4 linked regions of the Drosophila melanogaster genome follow. The protein of the gene in region 1 interacts with the protein of each later gene in a pairwise test. Each region holds a gene or a part of one and is shown in the gene's direction. Other genes may lie near its edges. The genes, in order: cactin, PHDP, CG17568 and SmB.

Evidence for each region.
Region 2: the proteins of cactin (region 1) and PHDP interact in a two-hybrid assay, tested with the Drosophila melanogaster proteins (one large-scale study listed by BioGRID).
Region 3: the proteins of cactin (region 1) and CG17568 interact in a two-hybrid assay, tested with the Drosophila melanogaster proteins (one large-scale study listed by BioGRID).
Region 4: the proteins of cactin (region 1) and SmB interact in a two-hybrid assay, tested with the Drosophila melanogaster proteins (one large-scale study listed by BioGRID).

Annotation. Positions count from the first base shown.
Region 1 is NC_004354.4:20,418,372-20,426,902, forward strand, and holds cactin (cactin), read left to right. Parts: upstream 1-5,697; 5' UTR 5,698-5,782; coding exon 5,783-7,945; 3' UTR 7,946-8,031; downstream 8,032-8,531. Other genes in the region: Obp19c (Odorant-binding protein 19c), read right to left, coding at 1-13, 80-394; Obp19d (Odorant-binding protein 19d), read left to right, coding at 1,767-1,914, 2,045-2,133, 2,206-2,342, 2,407-2,485; Pp4-19C (protein phosphatase 19C), read right to left, coding at 3,494-3,623, 3,688-4,481; CG15456 (uncharacterized protein), read right to left, coding at 8,275-8,531. UniProt on the Drosophila melanogaster protein: Plays a role in pre-mRNA splicing by facilitating excision of a subset of introns. Plays a role during early embryonic development. Involved in the dorsal-ventral embryonic patterning.
Region 2 is NT_033778.4:23,880,174-23,887,650, reverse strand, and holds PHDP (putative homeodomain protein), read left to right. Parts: upstream 1-3,210; 5' UTR 3,211-3,338; coding exon 3,339-3,615; intron 3,616-3,710; coding exon 3,711-3,904; intron 3,905-4,172; coding exon 4,173-4,364; 3' UTR 4,365-4,515; downstream 4,516-7,477. Other genes in the region: CG5597 (uncharacterized protein), read right to left, coding at 525-573; CG4882 (uncharacterized protein), read left to right, coding at 5,334-5,536, 5,591-5,930, 6,064-6,741; TM4SF (transmembrane 4 superfamily), read right to left, coding at 7,002-7,220, 7,297-7,477.
Region 3 is NT_033779.5:19,177,985-19,186,132, reverse strand, and holds CG17568 (uncharacterized protein), read left to right. Parts: upstream 1-4,430; 5' UTR 4,431-4,529; coding exon 4,530-4,679; intron 4,680-4,736; coding exon 4,737-6,091; intron 6,092-6,149; coding exon 6,150-6,186; 3' UTR 6,187-6,384; downstream 6,385-8,148. Other genes in the region: pigeon, read right to left, coding at 1-4; gammaTub37C (gamma-Tubulin at 37C), read left to right, coding at 481-529, 599-801, 910-1,500, 1,560-2,090; CG46059 (uncharacterized protein), read left to right, coding at 2,798-2,941; CG42688 (uncharacterized protein), read left to right, coding at 3,728-3,880.
Region 4 is NT_033779.5:10,422,324-10,429,663, reverse strand, and holds SmB (small ribonucleoprotein particle protein SmB), read left to right. Parts: upstream 1-3,036; 5' UTR 3,037-3,167; coding exon 3,168-3,170; intron 3,171-3,539; coding exon 3,540-4,136; 3' UTR 4,137-4,181; downstream 4,182-7,340. Other genes in the region: CG5188 (uncharacterized protein), read right to left, coding at 5-678, 734-816; KdelR (KDEL receptor), read right to left, coding at 1,855-2,493; Wdfy2 (WD repeat and FYVE domain containing 2), read right to left, coding at 4,392-4,672, 4,734-4,930, 4,994-5,120, 5,181-5,293, 5,566-5,913, 5,984-6,144; pie (pineapple eye), read left to right, coding at 7,021-7,134, 7,202-7,340. UniProt on the Drosophila melanogaster protein: Plays a role in pre-mRNA splicing as a core component of the spliceosomal U1, U2, U4 and U5 small nuclear ribonucleoproteins (snRNPs), the building blocks of the spliceosome. Involved in germline establishment and development.

The DNA of each region.
Region 1 (8,531 bases):
TGTCGGCGTCCATCTGGGTGCGAATGAGAAGTATTAGTGACCTTTTAGTTCTGGTTGTGACAAACGTCCGGCTACTCACCAACTTGATCTTCTTGAGCACGCACTCCACCAGGCACTTCTCCTTCTCACTTGGATTGGTCACCTTCCCCAGCGGTCGCTGGTCCCTGGGCAGCTGCAGCTTCTGGATGCACTCCATCCTGGCCGCGGTGACCAGCTCCTGCACCTGCGGCAAGTTGCGATCGATTACCGCCCAGATGGGCTCCGTTCCGGTCTTGGGCAGCAGCTTGGCGAGATCGAAAGCCTGGGTCTGGCCACGGACGCAGTGCGTCTGCAGCAGGACAGCGACCACTATCGTCATTAGCGGAATGGCTGCGACTGGAGTGGATGGCTTCATCTTGGCAGCTGCTTTCTCTTTGGCTCTGCTCTTGCTTGGCCCCTTGGCTTATAAGCTGACCCATGACCTCACACCATAGTCGTCTGCACATGGCATCGTCGCTTGATTTTGCTGATTGCAAGCATTTCTCCAGTGCCAAGTTCATCACCCAAGTTCGTCACCCGCACAAGTCACGCTCCAAAGACGATATTTGACATCGCCAACGCTATCCAGCGATGTGTCAGTTCACTCGAGACAATGACAATATCGGATTAATGTAGATCTTCAATCTGGAAACCTGATAGGTCTATCAAAGTACCAAGGTTTGTAAGGTATATTCATTTTTGGAATAATACATTTGAAAATATCAATGTTAATTAAAATGAAAGTAAGCCATTTGCTCGCAACCGAATTATTTAGATATATACATATATTATCAATCGGACTTATTTGTTGGATGATTTACCATGTACATATATGTATAATACTCGATCACACAGACTTCCGACCTGTTAAAGATCTTAATGGGGCTAGTAAGCCCCACTCAATCCAATTGGAATAAAAATTAGCATGCAACATGCTCACACGATGCAATCCGATTCCATCTATTGGATTCCACAATAATATAGATTGCGTGCTAAAATCTCCACTCGATGGATGGACAAACAGACTGACTGGATGGAACTCAGATAGCGATCGTTGGCACTCGGAATGATCAGAAAGTCGGCAGGCTGACGGGCAAACTGGGAAATAGGCGGACAGATGAAGGGTATATTATGGCCTAAACGGCCAATTTGGCAGGCGGCAACCGCAGTTCCCAGTTCGCCCAGTTCCATATAATTGTATAATCGCTCGATGGCCCCGCCAGTCACAATCACTCATCTCACCCAGAGCTGTTGATCGATTTAATTACAAGCGGGATTTCTCATCTCTCATTTTGCATTTAGCATTTTGCATTTTCATTTCCATTTCCACTAGCCATAGCCATTCCCAATTCTATATCCCCGGCATTTGCAGCGATTTCATGCCAGTCACCAATTAAGCAGGTAAGTGGAGATCGGTGGGCCATCTCATCTGGCAGCGGCAGTTCCAGCGGGGTGTCACTCGTTCACACGATGCCCAGTCGAGGGCATCTCCGCCGGATTCCGTCCCATCCCGTCCAGAGCGGCGGAGTGAAGTGGAGTGCCATGTGCCATGTGCTGCCCATGTAGTTCATAATTGCGCGTAATTGCCGGAGCTGCTTGAGACGCAGCTGGAGATCGGCGATGGATCCGATCTGCCAAATCAATCACGGGACTCGGCTTAGGCAATAGCTCCTATAAAACGCCGACGTTGCCGGCGATTCGCATCCAAGTCAGAGTTCGCACGTCGCGCAGTTCAATCGCAAATCGAAATGTCGCATCTGGTTCACCTGACCGTCCTGCTCCTAGTGGGCATCCTCTGCCTGGGCGCCACCAGCGCCAAGCCGCACGAGGAGATCAACAGGGACCACGCCGCCGAGCTGGCCAACGAGTGCAAGGCTGAGACGGGAGCCACCGATGGTGAGTCAGATGGTCATCAGTGCAGAAAATTCAGTAGGGAATACAGCTGTCAGCGTACCACTCCTACCTGTGGTGGATGTGTTAGGATAGTTATTGTGCAATTATCAATCATATGATATATCGCTTACAGAGGATGTGGAGCAGCTGATGAGCCACGACCTGCCCGAGAGACACGAGGCCAAGTGCCTGCGCGCCTGCGTGATGAAAAAGCTGCAGATAGTGAGTGCTGCTGCTCCGGCAGGAAGTGTGATCCACTCACCACCACCCATTCCATTCTCCCTCCCATTGCAGATGGATGAATCCGGTAAGCTGAACAAGGAACACGCCATCGAGTTGGTCAAGGTCATGAGCAAGCACGATGCAGAGAAGGAAGACGCTCCCGCCGAGGTGGTGGCCAAGTGCGAGGCCATCGAGACACCCGAGGATCAGTGAGTAGTGCTCGCCGGAAGCTGTTGGCTCAAATCCGGACTATAATCATGCTGCCATTTTCAGTTGCGACGCTGCCTTCGCCTACGAGGAATGCATTTACGAGCAAATGAAGGAGCATGGACTCGAGCTGGAGGAGCACTGAGAACAGATTTGAGACCCATGACGACCCCCCGTTACTGTATCACAAGCGCCCTTCTGGAATATAACCATCTTTTTTTTTTATGTGTATACTATGAATTAAGTACTTGATAAACTGAGAAACTGCAGGCTTGATTGTTTGTTGGATTGTGAAGGGGGATTCGTATGGGTGTGGTTATCCTCCAAGACTCCTCGGGACCCATAATTTACTAATAAAAAATTCTTGCTCAATTTCGACGATTATATTACAATCTTTATTATTATAAATACAAGTACATTTTTTTGTATATCATCTCCCAATCTGGGGCATATTTAAAAGATTCTTACTCACTATTTATTAATGCACGATGTTCTTCGTACCTGGGTTTCTCCAGGTGATATCCTGCGGAGAAGGGACCCAGCCAGGGATGCGCGTTCGCTCTCGGCTCCCCTAAATATGTCCTAGCTTAGCCGACTTAACGCAATCTGTCGGTAAAAATATCTATTTGCTCAACTTGGGCTCCTAGTATAGTATGCTGCCCAAGCCCAGGGAATTCGTGTCGAGAAGACGGCGGCTCCGATTGCGGTCCGTCTACGCAAGGCGAATTCTCAGGGTCTTGGGCTATGGTCATTAAACCTATTAGTTAGTAGCTAGATGAGGTGCACAGGTCATACGCGATCTGCATGGCTGATCTCTACATGTTTTGAAAACAGCCATTAAAAGATCGCGCAAATAGCCTGATTAAACACAGGTAGAGGTAAACAGATGGTAAAAAAAATTTAAATATCTTAGTTGAACCAAAAAAGCAAATAAGTCTAACTGAACGTGGACCTGTGTCCGGCAGCTCTACCCTAGCTTACGTTTATGTTACATATTTTTTGTTTTACACCATCAGTTGCTATTCGCGTTCGCTTCGCTTTTGCAGGCTGGCAGTTTCTATTTCTATTCCCTAGATGATTTATGTAAGCTACCAGTCGGCACCCGCATCCTGTGCCGACTCCGTTCCACCGGATTGTCAGGAACGGAAGCGTCTTAGAGAAAGTAGTCCGCCTGAGGCTTCTTCGAGGGAATGCCGCGACTCTCTTGCGGAGCTGCCTCAAAGATGACGAAGTCGCGGTGCAGGTACTCATTCAGCTCCAGGATGGCAGCTACATTGCCGCAGCTGCATGTGGAGAGATTCCAGAGTTAACAACACAAGTTCGAAATTGCACAGGAGGCTGACTCACCGATAGCAGTAATTGGGTGCCGACCAGACGGTCAGGACGGTTTCGTTGAAGTGCCACTTGAAGCCCTCCATTACCAACTGGTGTGCACGGCAAATCATGTCGATATCGTTCGTGCGGTTGAACTGGGAGACCACGTCCGAGCCAAAGAGATAGCCAGCGCCGCGCGGCGACACGCCCCAGCCAGTCTGGTCCTCCGGATCGCTCCAAAGCAGGTCGCACATGGGCCCGTCGTGCGGCACCTCCTGCTTCCGGTCGATGCTGCGAATCTGGTCGAGGTACTGGATGGACGGCGACAGCCCGCCGTGCACGCAGAATATTTTGCCGTCGATGATCGCCGAAAGGCTGAGGTAGTCAAAGATCTCCGTGCAGTACCGCCACACGGCCGTCGATCCGTACTTGCGCAGGCACTCATCGTAAAAGCCGTAGACCTGTGTGATTTGGCGCGACTCATGGTTGCCCCGGATCAGCGTGATTCGGTCCGGATAGCGCACCTTCAGCGCCAACAGCAGCAGAAACGTCTCCACACTATAGTAGCCGCGGTCCACGAAATCGCCCATAAACAGGTAGTTCTTCTCGGGCACATCGCCGCCAACCTTGAACAGCTCCTTCAGGTCGTAGAACTGACCGTGGATGTCGCCGCACACGGTCACTGGCGAGTCCACACGCTGCACGTTGCCCTCCTCCACCAGGATCTCGCGGGCTTTGGCGCACAGGGCCTTCACCTCGTTCTCCTTGATGATCTCGCAGCGCTTCAGTTGCTCGATCTGTCGGTCCAGGTCGCTGTAGTCGGACATCTTCACCCGGAGGATGGCGGCAGCCGAGGCGACGGGGAAGCGGTGAATCGGACTGCAGGCGTTGACAGGGCGGGGACAGCGTTGTTAGTCGTTCACCAAACTGGCGCGGGTGGTTTTCAGGTAGCCACAAGGTTGCATAAGAGAAATACTATAAATTTTTGGTCGCTTGAGTGATAGGATAGGGTACTACTCTAGTCGTGCACAGCAAGTCTAGCGTTTTAGAGGCCATAAAGTGCATCTGTATAGCTGCATCCCCCACATCTAAGAATCAAGACGATTCAACTATATTTACGGATTGGGCAAATAATATAAACACACACATTCGCGTTCCCAGCTATTCCACTTGTTGAGATAGTCCATGAGGCTATTTCGCAATGAAAAGCCAACCAACGAGAAAAGAGGCTATATTCTCGATATAACTTCTTTTAGCTGTTTTAGATGGCTGTGTTTTAAGTGAATGCATACACATTTCTTTCAAATACGAAACGTGTATTTGACAGTGGATAGGGTTGGATTTGTTTTAAATCCAGAATTTCTGGATTAGAGATTAGTTCAGATTTTCAGTTGCTGCTGAACTGGAAGTAAGGTAACTAATAGTCGACTAATAACCATCCTTTTGTTTGTGTTTCGGTTTTTGAGTTCGCCTGCATGCGTCTGTGTGCGTCGGCTTTGTGCGGATGCTCGCGTGTGTGTGTGCGTCTGGCTTGTCGCTGGCCTTTTTGCCGCGCGCGATTTTCACCGTCTGCCGTGTTTTTCCTGTCTTCCCCGACACTTTTCCAGAATCACTACTTACTCAGCGCAGTGGCGGGCTATCTGGACAATCCTTTTGCTGGTAGCTCGGCTCTCGTGTTGGCGATTGAATACAAAAAATGCACATAAACGTTTTTGCCAACCGGGTTTCTGCGAAGAGCTGGATTGGCTACTTGCGTTTGTATCGATATATTGAGTAATGGCACTTGCAATGACACATCGAGTCTTCAGTTTCGATAGTGGGCATTACCACGAAGACCCTAAAAAGCCTTTTACACTGCACCAAGGATTCCATCGATAAATTATTTATTTTTGTGTATTTATAATACGCTGCAGCCGAAATTTTAAAATTTAAAGTTTGTAAAAACTAACCCTTGGAAAAATAAATCGACTTATCGGCAAGAGGGAGATGTGTTAATGTTATAATGCTTATATCGATAGCACTTTTGCAATTATTAGTGGCTATCTGGGTTGGTTTTCTCCATCTGGCAACGCTAGCATTGTTTATATTTTATTTCACAAGTTTTATCCCGAAAAACTCATTAAAAAAGATGCCCAAGGAGAAATCCAAGCACCGGCATCGCAGCCGCAGTCGGGAGAGGCGGGATCATCGCAGTCCGGATCCGAGGAGCAGCAGGAACAGGGATCGGGATCGTGAACGCGAGCGGGAAAAGGATCGTGACCACAGAGATCACAGAGACAAGGAACGTGACCAGCGCAGGGAAAGGGAAAAGGACAAAAGCAGGGACAAGAAGCGGGAGCACAAAAGCCGGAGACGCCGGTCCTCTTCCTCCAGCTCATCCCCGTCGAGTTCGACGTCCAGCTCGGTGCCCGGTGCCCCTCGTTCGCCGCTGGTAAAAAGCCCGATGAAGCTTCTCCAGACGCTGGAAGCCCGTCGCCTCGTCGAGCAGAAGGATCGTCAGCGTAAAAAGGAGGAGCTGAAGGCCCATGAAACGCCCGAGGAGAAGCGCGCCCGTCGCCTGCGCGAAAAGCAGGCCAAGGAGCAGCGGCGTCGCGAACGAATGGGCTGGGACAACGAGTACCAGACGTACTCCAACGAAGACAACCCGTTCGGGGACTCCAATCTCACCTCCACCTTCCACTGGGGCAAAAAGCTGGAGGTAGAGGGACTATCAAATCTCTCCACCAAAACCGTAGAGGTACTGTCTCTGCAAAAGCAGTTGGAAAATCGCAGGGAGCTGGAGAAGGTCAAGAAACGGCGTCAGGAGAGGGAGCTGGAGCGGCAGGTGCGCGAGGATGATCTTATGATGCAGCAGCGCGCCAAGGAGGCGGTGCAGTTCCGCGAGTGGCAGCGACAGGAAGATCAGTTTCACTTAGAGCAGGCACGCTTGCGCAGTGAAATCCGGATCCGAGATGGACGTGCCAAGCCCATCGATCTTCTCGCCCAATATGTGGCCGCTGGGAATGAGCCGCTCGAAGAGTGCCTCGAGATGCAGATGCACGAGCCCTATGTGCTGCTAAACGGCCTGCCCGTGGAAGAACTGGAGGACCTGCTGGTCGACATTAAGGTATACGAAGAGCTGGAGCAGGGCAAGCACATCGATTTCTGGAACGATATGATCACCATTGTGCAGGATGAACTGCAGCGCCAACAGAAACTGGAGGCGGAGAATAGTTCGCTCAATCAACGCCGGGATGGCATCCACCAGGCGGTGGTAAAGGATGTGGCCGATATTTTTAGGGGGAAGAATGCTCAGCAGCTGGAGGAGATGCGGCACCGCATCGAGGCCAAGATCAGTGGGCGAGCGGATGGCGTCGACATTAGCTACTGGGAAAGCCTGCTCTCGCAACTCAAGGCACACATGGCCAGAGCTCGACTGCGAGATCGCCATCAAGCCTTATTGCGCGAGAAGCTGTCGCTGCTCAAGCGAGAAAACGATAATGAGACGTTGCAAGAGAAGGTGGCCCCACAAGTCAAGGAAGAGGAGATGGAAACCCAGGACGCAGAGGACCCGGAGGTTGAGGAGGGCTCACCCGAAGACGAGGAGGATCCCCTGAATGAGCTGCGTAAAACAGTGCGTCTTTACCAGGCAGGGAACTACAGCCCGCGCTATATACGCGAAGAGGACTTCACCGGCAGACGAGCGCAAAACGAAGACGTCGACGAACCGGAGGCAGAAGGACTTCTCTACGAGGAGGAGGACGACGAGCGGCGAACACAGAGACAGCGTCTGCTAATCCTTCATCCAGAACGAGTGGATAACAATCAACTGACCCCGCAGGAACTGCGAATGCGCAACGAGGCGAAGCAGGGAATGCAGGGTGACGAGGCCGAGTTCAGTGTGGAGACCACCCTGGATGCAGTGCCGCAGCTGGCCACCGATAAGTACCGACCACGAAAGCCGCGCTACTTCAATCGCGTGCACACCGGCTTCGAGTGGAACAAGTACAACCAGACGCACTACGACATGGACAATCCCCCGCCCAAGATCGTGCAGGGATACAAGTTCAACATATTCTATCCGGACCTTATGGACAAATCGCAGACGCCGCAGTACTTCCTCACTCCCTGCGCGGACAACGGGGACTTTGCGGTGCTGCGTTTCCACACAGGACCACCGTACGAGGACATCGCCTTCAAGATCGTCAACCGGGAGTGGGAGTTTAGCTACAAGCGGGGCTTCCGCTGCCAGTTCCACAACAACATCTTCCAGCTGTGGTTCCACTTCAAGCGCTATCGCTACAGGCGGTGAAGGATTGTCACCGTCTGGCCTAGATTACCCAAACCATCCTTTTGTGCAGTCCTATGTTATTTTCCAATAAAGTGTAAGCCCAGAACAACTAGCAAACTCGTTCCATTTATTGCGATTGTTTAGTTGACTCCACTTAAACTGAAAACTGTTGTTTAACCTTTACCCATTTTTCAATTCATCCATCTTGCAAATAAGGAGAGCATTATAATGTTATATTTATTATTATATATGTATATACCATATATCACAGGATTTCAAATGGGTTCCACAAATGTTGGTGTAAGCGTGAAGCTATCGTGTTTAAACAGTCTAGGCGTGAAAGTAGGAGATCACATCACGACGCAGTCCTTGATGGGCTGCTCCAGGACTTTCTCCACGGGCTCTCCACGCTCCGCCTTCTGCACTTGGGCCAGGACACTCGCGTGCTGGGGAAATGCCAGGCAGGAAAGCTTCGAGTGCACTAGCTGACCGTCGATGGACACCTCGAAGGATCCCCGCCGTCCCGTGCGACAGGATATGTCCAAGTCGGGCGACGAGGCCAGCAGGAACTCGCGCAGCAGGTGGCACTGCCCGCTAAAGTTGCAGA
Region 2 (7,477 bases), on another chromosome or scaffold:
GTTTCGTTTTAAAAATAGACACTAATAACAAACAAAAGCTAGAAAATTGAACATTTTTCATTCGGCAGTTTGTCATCATGTGTGCCAAAATTCTGAAAACTCTGTTCAATTTTATTAGGTTCCTTTCGCTGGAATCTTTTGCTTTCCACTTAGCATCTATTGCTCCGACTTCAAAACCACTGGCGCTTTTTCCACATTGAAAAACATATAGTTTCGAACACGAATAATTGCACGTAAAATCCTTCAGCCCGTTCAAATCCACAAATTAAAGGATAATCGAATCTGCACATATTGTTTATATATTGTTTATATATTGTTTATATTCCGTTTTAGCACATGTTAACTCAGAACCGAATGTGGATATACGTTCGTATTTATAGATATCCGATTTGTCATTATTTTTCTCAAGGTTTGCGCATTCGAAATTCGTTTATATGCGCCTTCCGAATGATTTCATTTCTTAATTTAAAAATCGCGTTTCCCATATCGGTTGCTGGCTGGATCGCCACAGGATCTGGCTGTACCTCTGTGGAGCAGTCCGATGGCCAGAATGGCGATCAGCAGGGTATCCATAACGGTCACTATCCTATCTACACTTCCACTTCCACTCGTATGCCAGACTTCTCAACCGATCCTAACTCAGCGGTCCGCTCGGCATGGTACAACTAAGGCAACTAAATGCTCTTGGCCGCCAGAGAACCGAAAACTGAAAACCGAGAAATGAGGAACGAGAGCTCTTGGCCAAGACCACGCAGCGTAACCAAACGAATTCGAATTTAGCCGAGATAATGCCGGCACTTCCTCTCCGGCACACGATCCTCCTACCCTAACCCTCCTCCTCCTCGCATAGCCCGTGCCACTTGACTTGTGCGCGACTCTCGGAGCACAAGCACGATCTTTGCATGGACATGTGGGGAGATCGCTCCGCAGCTGGCCAGGCACCACCACCAACCAAGTCGCCCTGCATGTGTGGGGGTTGGACACAACCTTTCCGCTTCGATACTCTCCGCTGCTCCTAGCTGCCGTTGACTATTTGAAAACCAGTTGGCCGCCCAGCTGAGGCGCACTCCTACAACTAGGGATAGTCGAGGGTAACATGCAAGACCGTTAAAGGACAGGGGGTGTCGAGCGTAGTCCTTAAGGACCTTTTCTTCTTCTCGACCGAAGTTAAGGGCTGTTGTAACGATTGGCGTTAATAATATGCTGTCTCCATGGCAATAGGGATCATTAACATTCCTGTAATTCTGTTGAAATTCCGATAGAAGGCATTTTTAAGTCGAATTTCTCGAATTTGTTTACAATTGAATAAATCTTAGGGTATTAGCCGTTCAGTTACTCATAGGTTTAAGTATATCCATATGCTTGAGTTTTTGTAAAGACTTAGTTAGTCGTTCCAACTCGGTGATTAGCAAAAGAAAAAGCCTTCACTATACCAAGTTAGTGTGTAAGTGCAACACACACCTATGCATGATAAACCCTTTTTCTTTACTTTATGTTTTCCAAACTAACGTTAGTTGTTTTCAGAATGACTCAATAGAACCTGATACTTGTTCGATGCATGTAGTTCCAGGCTCATTTGCACCCACAACTAGGTTGAAACCTACTTAAACTAGCTTCCCATTTAGATGCTCTATAACTAAATAATATGTTGCTGTTTTTACAGGATTTTCGGGGTGGGTTTGAGATCGGGTTAAGCAAACAATGCAGGTGGGTTTCGTTCAGGTCGATCACCTCCAACATCTGGTTACTATACTATTTATTAAATGTAAAATGAGTTCATATCTTTGCGTTTGATACAATTACAATTGGAAAGGTTATAATTTTACACATATATTGGATATATTTTAACCTAAAATGTAACACAGTAACTTATTCCAAAACTTTCGGAATGTCGTAATGTTGTATTATTATGATTGCCATAACAATTCTCCGATTTACATAGACTTGCGATTTAAGTAATGATTACTACAAAGTAGAGTTTCTTTTTGCACGAGTGTTAGTTTGAGCATGATGTGCATCTATTAGGTGGCTTTGTTTTCCTAGAGACTTAGTCGTTCCAATTCGTTGATTAAGAAAAGAAAAGGCTCACTCTACCATGCAAATGTGTAAAATCCACAAAGGCAACTAAGACCATTTTTCAACTGGAAAAAGAGGCACATTCTAAACTTTTACCTCGTATGTTTGACTAAACTGATCCCAATGAAATTGTTTCCGAAGATAGATACATTGAATTTGGAACTGTTTTTCTTTGAAAATTTAACTAAATGGCTTCAGCACATGGAACAACCAGCCTATCCTATTAGCAATCCAGCATTAGGGTGTCCAAAAAAAAAAGGACTTCAGCGCAGAGTAAATAAAAATTAGGCAGGACTCTGATTAGCAGGAATTAACTAATCGAAATAATCCGCAGAGCAAATAATTGTTTCCGAAAACAGGGGTTGTATCCTGCCAGTGACTTTAAACAATGTTTCAATCAGCCCAATGTTATAAACAAGAAAAGATAGTAAGGTGTCTCTTATCCATTGTGTGCGGTACAACACCATTTGTTTTATCAAGTTGGCGAAGTGCTGTACTCGTGATGACGGACTGTCCGATACCCTTTCCATTTCATATATGAAGTTTAAATATATTTTATAATTTATGTTACTTTGGCTGTTCCTTAAGAGTTATTGCAACGTAAAGAGGATTTTCATTTTTCTTACTTTTTATATTATCCCAGAGAAGCATTTCCTTTAATCGCTCAGACAGGACATCCCAGCGTCATGGTTGCCCGATAAGCCAATTTAATCTTCTGAGTGTTGCTTTTTGAGGCCTGTGAAAATTGGTGCACTCAAAGAAAAGTTCGCTTAAAGATGGAGCTTGGAAAATATTCAGATTTTGAAGAAATATTCATTGAAAAGAAGATTTCTGAGTGAAGATTAGATCAGAGCCAACAGACAGCGATGCAATCAATGAAATTAAAACCAAAACCAATTCTTTAGACATGCTGTGACAAGTCAATTGGGGAAATGCGGTGAATTTTCGCGCAGTGCACGACACGCGCCGGAAAGTCAGATTTCCACCCCTATGTCGAGTGGAGCTCGTTAGGACCGCCTCCAAACGCGGAAACGAATGAAATTTTCCGTCCCGCTCTCCCGAGACAAGTGCAGCATCCTTGTTCGTCCAACGTGGATGTCCTGTAGTTGATACAATCGTAATCGAAGCTTATTTATTCAAGGGCAGTTAAAAGTGTGTGCGGCCGCGGAGCTACTATAACTATGTGTTTTATGGCCGAATGACTCATTAGCGGGCTGTAAAATTTCAATCGAGTGCCGTGTGTGAATTTACCTGCAGATGCGATGGAATTTTCACTGCTCAACAAGGCGAACTTCGACAAGGATTGTTTGTACACCGCGAACTCGGAGTTCTACAACAGCGGCGCCAATGGAGGAGGACTCTCCGTGGCCAATCACATAAATCACTACAACCTCATGATTGACTCCAGTTACAAGCTCTGCGCCAACGAGTCCGCAATCCGGGGTTCCCTCAACCAGGAGTCGAGCTTATTGTTCTCCAAAATCACCACTGTCTCCGAGTTTTACCCGGCCACCCATAACATTGGCTCCTACAACACGGGTAAGTACAGTGGCCATCAGTTCCACCTGCAGCCAGTGCACCTGGATGGATCGATTATGGATTGTAATCTTGAACCAACTCTCACCTCGCCATAGACTTCCATTTGAAGTCCTATGGAGACGACGGCTTGAGCCTGACCGACAAATCAAAACAGAGGCGCATTCGCACCACTTTCACGTCCAACCAGCTGAACGAGCTGGAGAAGATCTTCCTGGAAACCCACTACCCAGATATCTACACCAGGGAAGAGATCGCATCCAAGCTGCACTTGACGGAAGCTCGAGTTCAGGTGAGGAAAACTAATGAGATTGAATTGCTGGTTAAGTGAGTGGGTAGTTTAGGATACACATATTTCAATAATTAACATATAACAAATAATACTTACATAATATAATATAACTATTGAAAAGAACTCGATCTGCTGTTGATAGGTTCAAATATTATAGGTTTCTCGAAGCCAGCTTACAATCGAAACGAATTTAGTCATATCCTGTTGAAGGATACAAAACGACTTAGTAATCGAAATTAAAAAAAAAAAAAACCATTGTGTGTTTTAGGTCTGGTTCCAGAACAGAAGAGCCAAGTTTCGCAAGCAGGAGAGGCATGCCATTTACATAATGAAGGACAAGTCGAGCAAATTGGATGGCCGGAAGAATCCTGTAGCAGGATCGAAATACCTGGGCCCATCTCTCAAGGGACCCCAGAATGGCCATGGCCGTCAAATGAAATGCTTATACGATCAAATATAGAATCCACTAATATCTATGTAAATATTAGTATACATTTTGATGAATGCAGTTATTTTGATATTATTTTTACTGACTATTTGGAGCGAATTGCGTTAAATAAATAAGATCTGTGTAACACTTTGCTTGTTTTCATATCATCCGGGACAACTGGCTTAGCACCCTTTTGAGGGCTCAGCCGGCTAAGCCTGTGGGAAGAAAAACAAGGACTTGAATGGGGGTTGAAGGGTCACCATCTACAAGTACCAAACCTCACGCCCTTCAGGGGTAAATTGTCATCCCATTATCGGGTGGAAAAAGTGGATTGGATCGGCATTAGGGCGTGTAATCAGTTGATGGTGGCGATTCGGTGCGCTCAATATAGCAATTGTTGTGGAGTGCCCACCGCAGGGATTGGCGGTGAATACCTTTCAGATCTAATTAACAAGATCAAGATTGAATTGCAGTTTATTGAAATCATATGTGCCCAGATGTATAACTTAATATTGCAATTTATAAGTAGTGCCCGCCTTTCAACACCCTCGAATGATTTTAATAAACTGTGAAATCGTTGTTCATTTTACATTTTTCTACACTTCATTAGTGAAACGTATATACAGATATTAAATATATACATAAATATACAAATATCATTTAGCCTTTTAACTATATATAAAACGTACTCTTCCGTTTTTTAAATAGTTTTGTTGCAATTTGATTTGATTATTTTATGTGTTTTTTCATTTAGAATAAAAGAATTCAAATTAATTATTTTATTCAAATATTCCAAGGACATTTTCAATTCCATCGTTCCCGGAAAAAGCAACATATTATAAGTCGAAATACCCTCAATGCTTTCGAATACGAAAATACCGCTATCTGCGGTATTAACTGGCGAACGCGCTAGGGATTTTGTTGCTCTTTTGGCCAGCTGCATGTTATTTGTTAATCGGCTGGTTATAACACTTTATGAATTAAAAAAGACAATTGACAATGCTGCGATCGAGGATTTCCTGCGCACTGCCACCCAGGAGACTGGTGTCCTACTTCTCGGCGGAATTCAACAAGGTGGCGCACGAGGGACCGGCTAAATTCGCCGCAGGCAGCAGTCATGCCGTAACGAGTGTGGATTTGGATGTGTTCGTCAATCCGGATAACCGTCCCATGGACCTGGTGGACCGGCTGCTCAAGCTCAGGTGGGTGCGGCCATATTGGAAGTAGTGTCCCTACTCATAAGATAACTCTTGCAGGAAACAGAAGGAGGCCAGTTTGGTGCCGCTGATTCCCAGTGTCTTGGTCAAGCAATTGCTGGACTCCACCAATCCGCAGGAGACGATATCGGTGCTCCGTAATCCCATCCAGTACGGGCTCTTTGTGGACCAGTTCTCTGGCTGCTTCCTGTTGGACTTCCTGCTGCACAATGGCCACGCGGTGGAATCTGCCCAGCTGGCCACTATTCTCGTGGACAGAAACTTATGCAACAACGAGTTGCTGGAGTCCCTGGCCCTACAGTCCTTCTGGTCCTTCGCCAAGGAGTTCAAGCCCTTCGAGTCCTCTCAAGTTCAACCTCCTGCCAAAAATGTTGAAGTGGTAAGATGATTTTCGATAGTGGCTGAATTATCAGCTAAGCGGCTGGAAACTTTATTCACTCATAAATAGCTATTTAAGATTTTGTTCATTTTGGCATTTTACCAAGTTTACTAATCATACCTGAATTTGCTAGGAAAAAGTTCGCGTGAAGTTCATTCGCAATTACCCCGACGACGCCAGCGAAAATACCGAAGAGAAGAAACTGGGTCGCGCCATGGTTCGATTGGGCTCCGGCGAAGGGTCCTTGAAAGAGCTGAAGCAGAACGTTGCCCTACTTGGCTATGTCCTAACCGGACAAGTGCCCGAGGCCTCCAGCTTTCTGGCCTCGAACTCAGCTGCCCTGCACAAGGAGACTCTTTTAGCCGCACAGAGCATAGTTGAAAGCCTCAAGCTGGAGGGATCCGAAGAGCTGCTGAAGTCCCTGCAGGAAGCCGTTGAGAAGAGTAGCAAATCGAATGCCATTCAATCGCTACTGGAGAACAGCGTCAAAGCCAATGTGCAGAAGTTTGAGCCCAAACTGCTGGCCGACTACGGCGAGTCGTATCAGGAGTGGGCCAAGAAGTTTGAGGCAGCGGTGCAGCGACAACTGGATTCGCAGAGCGTGGAGGAGCGTAAGGCCACCATCCAGAAGACCCTCAGCGAACTGGAGGCGAAGCGGCAGAACCTGTGGTTCTTCGAGAACCGGGACGACATCGACATCCAGATCTACAAGAAGAAGGTCTACTATCCCAAGCGCTGGTTCGGCAAAAAGAAGAAGCCCAAGGCAGCAGACACCTTCTATGTGCCGCCGACTATCACGCACAACGGCTAGTGGACAACCCGTGGACCCACGACAACTCCTGGCCACAAACAAGTTAGATCCAATTGTTTTTAAGCTTTAATTAAACTACTGGAGAGTTAATCCAAATTCAAATGTTGTTTCTTTTCTCGAACGTTAAATTGTTTAAAATTACCATAACGTAACATTGAGGGTCACAGTTATATTCATTCCATCTCAGTTTACAACATTTTTTTTATACTTTTTCTTTGGAGTTTCCATAAATTTTTGCATCCTTAAAAGCTAATCGTCTGTCATTTGTGCATGGCCGAGGGCAGAGCAGTTTTTAAAACCCGCTGCCCGGGTGCTGAAGGGGATAGATTGATGGGCGAGGGCATGTCGTGCCTCTTGTCCTGTATGGTCAGGGGCAAGAACTGCTGCTGCTTCTTTTTCCGGTTCATGTTCATGGGATGGGTGTTGTCGTTCTTGCCGAACAGAATGGTCAGGTGGACAGCACAGAAGATTCCCAGGCTCTGTGCGAATTGGTTTTCAATTTATTATTGGTCAACTAACTGAGAGTTGAGAGAGAATCCATTGGGGGGGACTCACCTGGAATATGGCTATGATGGCAGCTCCGAAGGCGGTGATCAGCAGGCGGTTCCTGATCTGCTCCGATACGACGGCCAGGCATCCGCGCTTGTAGTGGGTATCACATGCTGACTCGTAGGCGTGCTCCGGGCGCGAGCAGCAGGACCAGGGCAGCGAAAGTCGGCGGTAATCGAGAGGTCCG
Region 3 (8,148 bases), on another chromosome or scaffold:
GCATTTTTATTTTTTATTCAATATTTGTACATAAACATTTGCAACGAATTTTTTCAATCAGCCTGCCAGTGTGCACGTTGCGCGCTTCTCAGAAAATAACGACTCCCGAGAACCGTTACTCGCAGCCACAGGGTGTGCTGTACAATTGAAAAAGCTAGTCCTTTAAATTTAAAAAAATAACAGTTAATGTTTTATGTAAATGAAAACATAAAAAATATATAACTATGGCTAATTTATTTGAACCTAAATATTTAAAAAAAAAATGGATCAAATCTTAATTCTAAGTATTTTCTATAAGTCCAATAACATTAAATAAATCATAAAGATTAGTAAAGAAAAATAGGTAATAACTTACTGTTGTATTGTACTTCTTGTATATCGATATTAATGACTTCCACTTCCATCTCCAGTTGGCCTTCGATGCACAGTTATTATTTACTGAGAAAGAAGCGAAATTAACTAAACTGCAATTCGAGCAAAATGCCCAGCGAGATTATAACCCTTCAATTGGGCCAATGTGGCAATCAAAGTAAGTTCTTCACGTCGAAATCGAAGTTAAGAGAAGCTCCGGCTTGATCGAGATCACTCCATTCCGCAGTTGGTTTCGAGTTCTGGAAGAGATTGTGCCTGGAGCACGGCATCTCCCCGGATGGCGTCCTGGAAGACTTCGCCACCGATGGACAGGATCGCAAGGATGTGTTCTTTTACCAGGCGGACGACAACCATTACATACCGCGGGCCGTTCTCATAGACTTAGAGCCCAGAGTCATTAACAACATCATGACCTCTCCGTACTCCAAGGTCAGTGCGGAAACTGGTCTTATTGGATCGGATTCTGATCTAATCTACTTTATTTTATGTATTTCATTTAAAAAACTATGTAGATGGATATGTGTTTCCCCTTTGCAGTTGTACAACCAGGAGAATGTGTTCCTCTCCAAGCACGGCGGTGGAGCAGGAAACAACTGGGCGTCCGGCTTTAGCCAGGGTGAGAAGGTGCAGGAGGAGGTGTTCGACATTCTGGACCGCGAGGCCGATGGCAGCGATTCGCTGGAGGGATTCGTGCTCTGCCACTCGATAGCCGGCGGAACTGGGTCCGGAATGGGCTCATATGTCCTGGAACGGCTGTCCGAACGCTTTCCCAAGAAGCTCATACAGACGTACAGCGTTTTTCCCAATCAGGACGAGATCAGCGACGTGGTTGTGCAGCCATATAACTCGATCCTTACCCTGAAGCGTTTGACCAAGTGCGCGGACAGTGTGGTGGTGCTGGATAATACCGCACTGAACCGCATCGCCACCGAAAGATTGCACATCCAAACGCCCACTTTTACGCAGATCAACAATCTGGTGTCCACCATCATGAGTCTGAGCACCACCACCCTGCGATATCCCTCGTACATGAACAACAACCTCATCGGTCTGACCGCCTCGCTCATTCCCACGCCCCAGCTGCACTTCCTGATGACGGGATATACTCCGCTAATGTCCGACTGCGAGGTATGATGATATGACATATGTAAATGGGAATGCAAATAAAAAGAGGCAACCACTTTCAGACCAAGACAAGCGTTCGAAAGACCACCGTTTTGGATGTAATGCGTCGCCTTCTGCAGCCGAAGAACATGATGGTTTCCGCGCTGACGGACAAGCAGAGCCGCCAGTGCTTCGTCTCCATACTGAACATCATCCAGGGCGAGGTGGATCCATCCCAGGTGCACAAGTCGCTGCAGCGCATCCGCGAGCGAAAGCTGGCCAACTTCATACCATGGGGTCCGGCCAGCATCCAAGTGGCTCTGCCGCGCAGCTCGCCCTATGTGCAGTCGGCCCACAAGGTATCCGGATTGATGATGGCCAATCACACGGGTATCAGTTCGCTCTTCAAGAGGGCCTTGGCCCAGTACGATAAGCTGAGGAAGCGCAACGCCTTCCTCGACAACTTTCGCCGCGAATCCATGTTCCAGGACGACCTGACCGAACTGGACATCGCACGGGACACGGTTGACTGCTTGGTGCAGGAATATGAGGCAGCCACCCAGATCGATTATCCCCAGTGGAGTCCTGCTGTCGAAGCTTCGAAAGCCGGTTAATCGATAATTATTTATAATTCAACCGTCAATACTTTTTATTTTTTTTATCAACAATAATATATGTATTTAAAATACTTTATAATCAATTTAGGAATTATAAAAGTTTCCAGGAATGATTCAACTTACATAAATCAAGCAAAAATAACTCTGAACGAGGTAGGAAGTAGTAACGATCACACCTCAACACACAAAAGTTCTGATATCAACTTTTGTGTGAAAAAAAGGGTTTTTTATTCAACTAAGGATATACAATAACTAAAATTTACTTATTCGTTAGTTAGTTTAAAGTTGGTCAACACAATCACTAATTCCACATCCACATGTATCTTGATATGTGTACATTTTTATAGTCATATTGGCTTTGATTTTTCATGTCACTTCACATTTCCCCGTAACAGACTGAGCGAAATGAATTTTCCATTCGTATTCCAAAATTCGATGTGTTAACACCTTTGAAAATAGTTTGTGTCTTACGTTTTCCGGTACCTATTTTGTTGTTTCTAAGATCCTATTTCTGTAAATAGGCCAAATGTAAGTGTTTAGTTCACATTGCATAGAGAACAATCTAATTTGGTTTAAAGTCCACTTAGCTGCCCTTTTAGAAGGAAATTAGGATACCCTGAACGCTTTTCCCCAAGACAAAATAAAATCGTAAGTGAAAACAATTTATATGATTAATTCTTAGCTTTCCTTTCACTTGGAAGATCATGTGCTGCGGACCCTGTGGACCTCGCTGCTGCGATCCGTGCGGCGGATGCTACAACTGCTGCGTGGAACTCTGCTGTGTACCCTGCACCCCAGCCTACATCCAGTGCTCATTTATGCCCTGCGGACCAAGAGGCTGTTGCTGAAGTGGGGATGTGCCAGGTGCCGAAACACGTTCAACCATATTGTACCTGAAACACTCGTAGATACCCAACATGTCCCAATAAACGAATTTTATAAATGTTAATAGATTGTGTCAAAGATGAATTCTATATTTCGACGCCGTGCTTTAGCGTACTCAAGGTGAAACCTGCTTGATTTGGAGACGAGTCCGATCTCGAAATTTATATTTTCGTGGGGAAAAAATGGAGATTCAAATGCGAGCAAAGTCGTTTGCAATTTGAGAATGGTTTGATCTTATGATCTGCCGACAACTTCGTGTCGCCTTCGCACATCCTCCCAGTGCGCTTCGTCACTACGTTGGCTGCCGTCAACAGACACTATACAAATTCGGTGTTTTAAATTAAGCCAGTGGTTTCCTTGACTGTCATAACTTCTAGAGATATTCAAAGAGACAAATTAACAGCCAATCAATCTAGTAGTCTTTGAATTGGATATCTGTCAACAGTTTTGGAGATGCCAAATGTCGAGAAGGGATCACATTCATTCTTTCCCCCAGCCTCGGTTTGAACACATCTAAAGTAACACAGGAACAGGAATCCCAATGACCAACACCTTTTGGAAATAAATTTCTTGTCGTGGTCAGTCTAAATATATTTTAAATAAAATTCATCTAAGTCTCAATTTAAACACATTTTCCAGACAATATTCTCGTTTCGGTTCTCGAGTGAGTGCGTATCCGTGATCCTTGTTTACTTTGTGGATTCTCTCCATCCATTGACTTCCACCCAAATATCCTAATCCTATCCAAGATGTGCTGCAATCCTGGAGGCTGCTGCAACCTGCCCTCCTGCATCCAGTGCACCAACTTTTGTTTCAACTGCTGGACGGGAACTGCTGCAGTGCCATGTTGCCGAGGTAGTTGCATTCCGGGATGCAGTAGCAGCCCTGGATGCCGTTGCTGATTATCACCAAAATTATTACACAAGTCTACAACTAAAAACTGAAATAAACTAACAGATACCCCAAACGAACAAATTGTAATCTTAAATTCTGTATTCATTTAGTGGTCAAACATCGACGAGAAGGCTAAATGTAGAACATTCATTTATAGGGCCATTTAGTCAAGATCACGGACACGAGACGCTTACAGGAGATGCGAGAGGAATGACTCTTACTCCACCTAACGGAGGATATGCCTTGTTACCCCGCAGCCATTGTATCCTAACGAGGGATAAGTAGCACGCAGGAATAAAATTCAATTCATACCAGTTTTAAGATTATTCAATATTTGAAGCCCAACTATATCACAACATAGTTCATATGGGCACAATCTACTAGAATGGGTTGAGTTTGTTCTTCATTTGCTAGTACATTACAATAATAATTAAGTTGAAATCGACGGTCTGCAGGAATGGGTCTTATTGGGTGTTGTGTTTAACATAAGGGTTAAACGAAAATGCCGTTAAGAATTTGCCATGGTTTGATTGCGACAACTTGTATCTGGTCACACTGCCCCGAAAAAGAATCAAATCTGGACTAAAAGTAAACAATTAAACTGCTAATTCTCGGCGATAAGGTGTTCCCATAAGACCACTTGGTTCCATTGCCAAGATGACGGACGGCAGCCACTGGTTGAACTGGTGTCGCCTGTGCGCCAAGGACGACGCCCACGGCAATGTGAAGGTGCAAATGAATGAGAATTCTCAGGGAAACTGGGACAATGTCCTGATAATGGCCATTCGCAAGTACTTCGAAGTGCAAGTAAGTGATATGAAACATATGCTTCAGTAACTGTTATGTGAAATATTTTTTCGCCAGATGCAACTGGAGGACGAGCTAAGCAGCGTGCTGTGTACGGAGTGCTATACGCTTATTAGCGAACTAATCGATTTTGCAGAGCATGTGACCAAAGTGCAAGACATCTTTGAGGTCCTGCGGCGAACAGAAACAGATGGGGACCAGGAAATGGACGTGGCTGCACTGCGTCAGCAGTTTGGACTGTGCGATGACGACTGGACGCACATTATAAAGCCAATTCCTGCTCTTGAAATGGAGTCCGATAATGTTTATCAAAAACCCGCCGAACTATTAAAGGACTTTCCTTTGGCGGAGACAAGCAGCCAAGAAATGGAAATATCGAAAAGGACAACAACAACCCACTTAATTCAAACCAAAAAGAACGTAGAAATGGAGATACCCAAGCAAGAATTCATCGACTTAGGTCCCATTCTGTTGGAAAAGAACACAAGTCAACTGGACATGGAGGATGTGCTAGACGAACTGCCTCAGGAGGAACTATCGCAACCGCGCCTCGACAGCACAACCTCTCCGGCCTCAATGGAGAATGATGTCAAATCAGAAATGCTTGACAGCTGTGAAGGAGACGACGATTTCCTGCCCGTAGATGGCCAGCTAATGGATCTCGTCGCTGTGGCAACCACGCCAAATACTCTGGAATCAACTGCCGAGGAGAAGGCCAAACGGGGTCGAATGGACTGCGAGAAATGTGGCAAGGTCTACAGAAACCGCGCTTCATACGAGAAACACTTGGAACGCGAGTGCCGCCGGATCGAGCGGCGTGTGAAAGTGGACAAAACAACAACAACCTGTGATATTTGCAACAAAACGCTATCCTCCGCCACAGCGCTGAAGCTCCACAAAGAGGGCATACACCAGAATGTCAAGCCATATATCTGCGATAGTTGCGGCAAGCAACTGAAGACAATAACAGCACTAAATGAACACAAGCTGGTTCACACGGAAAGCCGTCCCTTCGAGTGCACCGTCTGCAAGGCGGGCTTTAAGAATCGGGCTCGGCTGAAGGCCCACTACCAAATCCATGCGGAGCCCAGTTTCGTGTGCAACATTTGCGGCAAGAAGCTGCAAACGCGTCGCACCTGGAACATGCACAAGGTCGTGCACACCGAGGAGCGGCGCCTGAAGTGTGATGTCTGCGGCGCTCTCTTCAAGCGCTCAAAGACTCTCAAGACCCACTTGCTGAGCCACACGGGGCTGCGACCGTACGTTTGCAACTACTGTGGCAAGTCCTTTGCCTGTAATGCCAATTGCCGGTCGCACAAGCTCAAGAAACATCCGCAGGAAGTTCAGCAGGAGGATGGAGCACGGTTGCCCTCTCGCCTCAATGTTCCAACGTTGGATGAACTTCGCGTTATGTGAGTTGTAGTAAAGAAAATCTAGTTTATTCGATTTATTTAAATGCTTTATTTTCAGGACTCAAAAGTTACCAAAAGGAACAACAGAAAACTAGTTTTAGCATGATTATAATCATAATATATTTTACCTTTAAGCTGGCATCAGATAGGAATGTGCAATCTCAAATTTTACAAACAAAGATCTAAATATATTAAGTAAGAAAGTCATTTAAGTCATTTATGCTTGCCAAGTAGCAAAAACTTGCCAAAACTCACTGATCGAATAATAAAACGCATTCGAGTTATTTAAAAACAAAATAATTTTATTGTTGTTTAATGGAAATAGAAATTCTTACAATACAATTGTTGTTGCTGGTTGTTCTTGTTGGTTGGTTTAATATTAATGTTACACAACATTTTTTAAATGTTAATTAATACCGTATTTTAATATAATAATAATTTCATTTTTTTTTTTTCATTTTTTAATTACTTCGAAAATTGTGGCCCCTAAGCATTAAAAAGACTTTTATTTCCTTCTCATATTATATTTCAAAAATTCTCGCTGACGCTGTCGACTTTGCCATTGGATTGGATTTGCCATTTTGAGCACAGTTTAAAATCTGTTGTCATATCAAATTCAAATAGGTATTCCCGAACTCGCCACTCTAGCTAGCAAATTTCAGCTTTTAATAAATTATTATGATTTCTTCTCTGTTTTTACGTTTTCCACATGTATAAAAATATTCATATATAATTTACCGTAAGTACCTTTTGTTTCTCTTACACATTACATTAATGAGTTTTTATCTTGGGTTTGCCTTAATGTTTTATATATATAGGTTTATATATAAAATGCGCATACAGTTGGAATCTTAGTTAGTAATAATAGTTAATGAGTTAATAACGTTCACATTCAATTACATCGTATTCAATTAAGTACGATTATGATTACATTTTAATTTTCTTCTTGACGAGTTTAAATGTAATTCAAAGAAAAAAAAAACAGTTGGTTGTGCTCAAAAATGTTGAAGATTCAAGTTAAATGCCTTTCCGGTTTCGTTTTGTCAAAAAAGTGGCTTGGTTTACTGGTTTAGATTACATTTAATTGTGCTGGATTTGTGGGAAAGATGGATTAGTGAATGACTGGATGATTGAGTGAGTGAGTGAGTGAGTGATTGAGTGACTGACTGATTGAGTGACTGACTGATCGAGTGAGTATCATGCAGGGTATCTGAGGAGCCGAGCTGAGCTGATCCTGGCAGTAAGTTAAGTCAGTTACAAACTTAAACCGAATGGTAATTGCTCTGTACTGTGGTTAAATCTTTGTATGCATGTTAGAAACAGTATATGGCATATAGTATGCATTTGGTGGGCGTGTATATATTTCCTTTTCCTTTCCTTTTATTTTATTTTCCTTTTTTTCATTTCAACGCAAAAAGTTAACAATTTCCCCGTTCGAAACAGCTGAGAATGGCCTGCCTGACAAAGTCTACGTGTAATATAGATTTTCTTTATATTTATATAAGTATTGAATAAAAATGCCAACCCTCTCAATGATATACATTATTTGCTTGTCAGTCCATATTTTCCACATTTTCTTGTCATTTGCTTTAACATTTTTTTTTTGTCTTTGATTTTCTTTTTTTTTTTTATTTGTATTTATCTTAAGTGTAAAACAAAATTTGAGCGAAATATACGATTTGTAACTGAACGTACAGTGTAAACAATTAACCATAAAGAAAACATATTACTTTTATTACTTTAGCTGATAAAATGTCTTAGTTTCATATGACAACGTAGTATATGAAAGCCATTTAAGCAACACCCTGTATACAGTATTCACTCGTTTTTTTCCTTTTTTTGTGTACGTTAAAATTCAACTTGGCTTTAGCGAGAAATTCAAATTGCGGGGAGACATAAAAATCAATCCTTACACGGAAAATTGGTAATTGGTAAATCGTTAGCTAAACATAATATATATGTATGTATACAAAGAAAACTTAATTATAACGACATTTAACATTAGATTGGTGTTCCTTTTCATTTTCTGTTTCATTTTGGTTTTGGTTTTTGTTTTT
Region 4 (7,340 bases), on another chromosome or scaffold:
TTACAATAGTGTAGTATCTCCGGGGGGCCGTGGAAATAGCTACCGATTCCATGTCCAATGAAAGCAGCTATCGATGCCAGATCATGTTCGTCGCAATATCTGTCTATGAACTTTCCAATCTCATTGAATTCCACACCGGGGCCGCACAGCGAAATGCACTGATCCAAACAGGATTTAGTGGCCTCCACGAGAAAGCCACCCCGTTCGTCCACGTTGCCCACCCGAAATGTTTCCGAACAGTCGCCATGGTAGCCGTTCAAAAAGACTGTGACATCAATATTTATAATATCCCCATCGGCCAACTGCCGGTCATCCGGAATTCCGTGACAGGCGATATTGTTGATCGACGTGCAAATGGACTTTGGGAAGCCGGCGTATCTCAGCGGCGACGGATACGCTTTGGACTCGAGAATTCTTTCATGCGCAAAGGCATCAATCTGATCGGTGGTTGTGCCAACTGTTGCTAGTTTACCGCATTCGCGCAGTATCCTGGCCGCCAGTCTGCCGCTTAGACGCATGGCATCAATCTGAACCTGGCTTTTGATTTCGGGCGATCCCAGCGTGTTACCCGGTGGCATATTCTTGAAGTAGTACGCCGGTTTCTTGATCTCCTCGGGCACAAAACGTTCCGGGGAAACTTGGCCGGTGGACACGATCTGTTCATATTTGCCAGTATCTCTGTAAGTATACCCATCAGAATAGAGTCCTGAAAGAGATAAGCCGGAGCCCATACCCCTTAACTTTGCCGAACTGAAACAAGTTTCTGGCAGTCGTTTTCTGGCGCATTAAACTATTTAAAAGACCAATTCTTCTCATTTTGTTTTGATTATGACATTTTTGCAGTGTGGCAGTGCTGTAAATATTTTTACAGATAACAGCCGAGTGTTAGGGGTATTCCCCCTTTTTTGATAACGGCACAGTGCTTCAAGTTTTTGGAAACTAAACAATTTATAGAGATGTAATATATATTTATACATCCTTACTAACTCTTTGCATTGTAATCTAATAAATAAAAGAAAATCGAGTTGTTTATTGTACTTTGTTTATAATATAATATCTGCAAAAGTGTTTAAAATATTATTTATGCCACATTAGGTTCGTATTTGTTTCGTACATGATCTCCATATAAATTAAATTTTCCATTTGCATCTGGCATGACTGCGAAGCGTGCAAGGGGAAACGAGGGTGTTGCAGAAATTTAATATATCTTTTCGGAATTCAATAGAAGTTGTGCAAAACAGCACATGGAGTTCCTACGATCCTGCGGCCTATTTTTCAGAATATTATGTGTATTATATGTTGACATCGCTCATCATTTACTTTACTATTAGCCACACAATAAGACTTAACTTTACTCGGATTTTTAGGATACAGTCGACTTAAGAGCTATTTAATGCATAACTTTAAATTCTTAATTAAACAAAGAAATCTATGACCTCTTCTGTGATACTATTGCGAATCAGATAAGCCTCCGCGCAAAAGAGAAAACATTTGTTTCGATTTTGTCAATTAACGTTATCTCTTACTGGAGTAATGATTTTTTTTTTTAATATTTTTGGATTCTAAAATTTGTGAGTGCAGTTCGGAAAACGGAGATTAATACATTTGTTACATTTTCAATGTACGATGTCGGTATTGCATAGTTTATAGTGTACTTTCGATTTTCGGTTTATTTCTCATTAAATAATTACAACTTAGGCGCTCCCCTCGATTATGTATCTTTTGTATAATATGAACGAAATACGCGTTGTCAAACGGGCCGTGGATCGCTCGCTTGTTTACTCTGACGTCGATTGATGATGTGTGCCGACAAAACACAAATGTCCCACATCTATGCACTTATCCATCATCCGCTTATGCCGGCAGCTGGAGCTTCTTGCCCTTAAGAACTTTGGTAATGTATAAGTAGAAGAAGTCGCAGTACAAGACGGTCTGGACAACTCCGGCGAAGATCGCGATAAGGTCGTAGTGCGACTCGACCATGTACCGGTAGACCCAGTTGAGCAAGTAGAGTGCACGGTACGATCCCAGGGCGAAGAGGTAGTGGCTGGTGATGGACTCGGCCTCGCCGGTTCTGCTCACTAGGAACAGCTGCGGCAGAATGGCCACCGATTCCAAATAGATCGAGAATGTCCACAGCACTTCCATCACGGTAAACTCATGATTGATCACCAGCGAGAGCAGGGCGCACGGCACCAGCAGGAATTCGATGCGGAACGAATCGTGATTGTGGTCATAGGTGGCCTTAAACTTCACGTACATCAAATACACGGTGGCACCGGACGTGGCCAGGAACAACACCTTCATCACCGAGTTGTACAGGCTCACGTAGGTGGTGAACAGATCCAGGTAGCGCGTCAGATAGACCACGGCGAACAGGATCTGCGACTTGCCCGATATTCCGGCGCACGAGCGGGTCTTCCATATCTTCAGCAGCAGTATTATGATGGCAAACACATGCGACAGATCCCCAGCAAAGCGAAAGATATTCATCGTGATCTAATCCGCCGACTTGGCTACTTGGCTGCCCGGTTGGCTGTTTGATTGTTCTACTTCCTTTCGCTGCGGCTGCGTCACGGAACGCACGCCTATATGAAAATGGGAGTGTATACTATAGCAATAATGGCGGCATTCAGTGTTTCAACAGCTGCATACGTTACCAAAATGACTTTTCGCCTAATTTGCCAACGAGTAGAGATGTGAGGGCTTTGCCGCTTCGGAAAAAAACTTGTCAGAATGTCGGCATAAACAATGACGTGGCTGATGAATAAGAATAAGTTTGATAACATGGCCACTGCCTATCGATATCGATAAGTGCCGCCACATGATTTTTTTAATGAAAATTCGACCATCTCTAACGAAAAAAATTGAGAAAAAACATACTGATTCAAATTTTTTCTTTTTTCGTTTTTTATCATAAGATTTAAAAAAAATTTAATTTTTTTCTCTTCTTTTGCTAGGGATAGTCGAATGTTTGTTTAAAAAATCATGTGGATTATCAATAAAAAATTTATATTCGATAGGCTCGATTGAAAGACACCAGAAAATGCTGACCGCCGCACACGCCACTCGATTTATTCTTCATGCCTATCGAAAAAAGCCGTGGTGAGGTTCCGGCATCTGTATTTTATTTACAAGCGATAGAATTAACATAGAAATCAAATAAAATGGTAAGTAAAAACACTGTTTTAAGCATCTGACTGCAATGGTTAAGTTTTGTTTAGTTGTATTAATTCATAGATTCTTACTTTCGCGGTTGCGATTTCGTATTTACATAGGCATACATACATACAAACATGCATGCGAATAAATAAAACAATTTGTTTTGGCTAATTAACTATTTTATATTTGTTTAAAATTATGATTTTTAGTGATCTTCGATATTACGCTGAGATTTGCTATTTCAAACTCTGTGGTTTATTAAAATTTTTATAAATACCGGCTTTTTTAAAGGGTCGAAATGGTTTACAAAAGATGGCGCGACTTTTATGCATGCTATTGTATTTCACAATTAAATCCTTTGAATTCCTTTATTTCAGACGATCGGCAAGAACAACAAAATGATTCAGCACCTGAATTATCGGGTGCGAATCGTGCTGCAGGACTCGCGTACCTTCATCGGTACCTTCAAAGCCTTCGACAAACACATGAACTTGATCCTCGGCGACTGCGAGGAGTTCCGGAAGATTCGCTCGAAGAATTCCAAGGTGCCCGAGCGCGAGGAGAAGCGCGTGCTGGGCTTTGTATTGCTGCGCGGCGAGAACATAGTTTCACTGACGGTGGAGGGACCACCGCCGCCAGAGGAGGGCCTGCCCCGAGTTCCCATTCCGGGAGCAGCTCCTGGTCCGGGAATCGGTCGCGTGGCCGGACGCGGAATGCCTATCAACTTGTCCGCCGTGCCAGCGGGTCTCCAGGGTCCCGTGAGAGGTGTGGGCGGACCCGCCCAACAGCACATGGCTCCGATGGGACGAGGAGTGCCACGAGCACCGATGATGGGTGCACCGCCACCGGGCATGATTCCCGGCGGCATGCCCTCGATGCCAGGAAACATGGGACGCGGTGCTCCGCCACCGATGCGCGGACCGCCGCCCAGCATGATCCGTGGAGCACCACCACCGGGCAGGGGTGGCTATTAAGTATAAAGTACAATCTAATAAAAACTCATTTAGAAAACACCACTTAATCGATGGATTCGTGTATTTATGTGTTGAATGTAAGCATACGTACATACAATGATTATTGCTTTACATCAATTATATGAGAACCTAAGCAGCAGGGACTGGATTTGGTCGTTGCCAGCCACATCGTTCGTTAATTGGGTGTTCCAGTTAAGACCGAAACGCCTCGTGAATGATTATACCTTTGGTACGTGCGTGTGCGTACAGGATGTTTTATGCCCAGATGTTGGAGAGATCCCAGATCTTGATGAGCCTGTCCTGGCCCACTGTCAACAGGCGCTTTCTGTCCTCGTCCAGGTCCATGTAGACGATCGAATGCTTGGCGTCATTGAATGAAGCCAGCGAGGGGCGCTCGACTGTCTGAAGTTGTTTGTAGCACGGATCACAGGTACGCACATCAAACTCGAAGCCCATTATGGGTATGTTAATGCGATTGGTGGAACAGTTGTCGCACACGGCTTTGCCGCAGTGGCGACAATGATGCTGTCGTATTCCTGACAGTCAGAAATTACTTGTAAAACAAAGAGTAACTCAAGTGTAAGCTATTTATCTCACCCAGCTGCTTTTGATCCATCATTGAGCGGAAGTTCCAGAAGAAGGGCCTGGAGCAAAGCTGACAGTTGTTGGTATCCACCCAGCCAGGAACCTCTTTCCGCATTGCATTCATTTCCCAAAAAACCACTACTGAATCTTCGCCACAGCTTATCAGTTGTTGCGTGTGATTCGCGTACGACAGGGCGGAAACTTTGTTGCTACATAATCAGAAGTGCCGATTACTATCTTATTTTATGAATATTATTTAAGATTGGAGATACCTATGTCCCTGCAGCTCGTAAATGGTGCCACGTTTGCCACCAACATCCCAAACTAGCACGGACTGATCGCAAGCTCCGCTAAACAAGAGCTGAGGGCCTTCCACCCATTTGAGGCACCGGATTTCCGCTAAAAATTAACCAATTCGTATATAATTAGCTTACTAAATATCATTTGTAACTTGTTTACCCGAATGTCCATTGAAAGTGGTAATTAGTTGCACTCCCTGAACATCGCACCTTAGCATTGTTATCTGTCCAGCATGATCGCCCACAAAGGCATACTTGGCCAAAGCGTCGAACCTAAACGCAGATTATAATTAATTATATGTTGCTTATAGAATATTTCGCACAGTGCACACATTTATGCCAAAATTTTGTGTAGATAAAATGACTCAGTTGACACGTCATTAACAATAGAAGGTTCTCAAATTCTAAATGAATTCCATAGCCGTGAAGAATTGCAGTTTATTGCCGTGTCAAAGAAAGCAGTTTAATCCAATTAAATGACCCGCTTATCCCATATCCACTGTCGCACCCCCTTCCCCCTTTCACCATCCATTTATCATACTTACTGGAGAGCCGTGCATGGTGTCTCAAAGTTGTATCCGCCCACCCGTTTGCCGCTCTCCGTGCAATGATAGGCGAACTGCTTATCTTTGCCGGCGGAGAGTATCCACTTGTGGGTTTTCGAGAAGACCACGGCCATGACCCGCGCTTGATGGGACAAGTAATCCCGCAGGAAGGACAGGCGATTGCAGTCTTCGGATAGCGCGTACTGGGTGACCGTTCCGTTTTCCTGGCCGACGTACAGGTGCCGGGATTCCGAAACGTACTCGATGGCCGTGCAGCCGGAAGGCATATACTGGCAAATGCTAGGCCAATATTGACCAGAATCGCGTTTTAGCCAAACGCGAACGGTTCTATTGGGGAAAACATGAAAATGTCAGGCATACCATTTGTGTATATTTTTAATGGGCTACAGCTACGCACTTGTCATCGGAAACGCTAATTACGCCGTTTTCGCCCGGAATTAGGATCGCTGCGTTCACATCGTCGCTGCTGCCCTCCAGCTTACTCAGCAATTCCGGCTTTTTGGAGGTGTTAAAGCGATCATTGTTGGTCCGCTGAGCTGGTTTTATCTCGGCAGCCATATTATTTAAGGTGGATCCAGTCCGATGGTACGCCTACGCCCTATTTAACGCACTCGATGATAATGCGGTTATAAACAATCCGATTCTCGGACTGGGGAAGGTGAATGGAGATACGTGATTCACAATCAATTAACAAAACTGTGTTATTTTGTTTAACATTAAATATACTGAACTTTGTTGTTGGAAAGCTCGTCTAGATAGCGACGCCAAGTTTAGGAATGCTGCGGAATAGTGGAATCGATGAAATGAAAATAGAATCTTAATTGTTAGATATAGTTTTTGCGTATTATTGTATATTATTTTGCTATTAAAAATACTGAAGGTATTTCGTGTGATGTGTCGCAGCATTATGTATGCATATGCACGCACCACATTTTATAAACATACAAACGAGCATTTGAATCTTGAATCTCAGAAATCGCTTTATAAATGTATAGTCTTATGATTTTCATAATGGCATATCATATCTAATAAAACCTACGGACCACGCACAGTTATGTTTCCGGTTATCATGCTATTTAATTATTAATCACAAAATATTTGTTTATATTGTGTTAAGTTTTTAATACGTTAAAATTTATTATTACACATAAATAAATAATTTTATTATAAGTAGGGTTAACGCAAAATATAGCTAGTTAAGCAGATTAGATCATTGTGAGTGTTGCTCAGTGGAAACAGAGCTTTTCCAAAAATGTGCTTGGTGGAATTGAAGTATAATAAGGCGCTGTTGTATTTATTGTTTTTCAAAATCCTTGCCCGCCAATAGAGTAAAAAAGGAATGCAAAACATGTTGATAGTTTTAAAAATTATTCATAATAGCACTCAAACGAGTTGATCTGTCCAGCAAAACTAGTCTGAGCGGCCAGCTTACAAATGGAAGATAACAAGGAGCTGCAATGCTTAATATGCAAATATTCGGACACTGACGACCTGGTCTTTGGCGAATGGATGATTGTACGCAATTTGCAGGTGCACTATTTTTGCCTGGTAAGTGCGATTGTTGTGAAATGAAGAGAACTCCCGCTAATGTAAACTTCCTGATCCAATCCACCAGCTACTCTCAACGCATTTGCCGCAGCGCGGCGGAGATAGCAGTGGAATCCTGGGATTTCTGCTTCGCGATATCCGCGAGGAGGCAGCCGCCGCGGAGAAGAGGAAATGTTGGTACTGCAATAAGATTGGGGCCAGTTTGC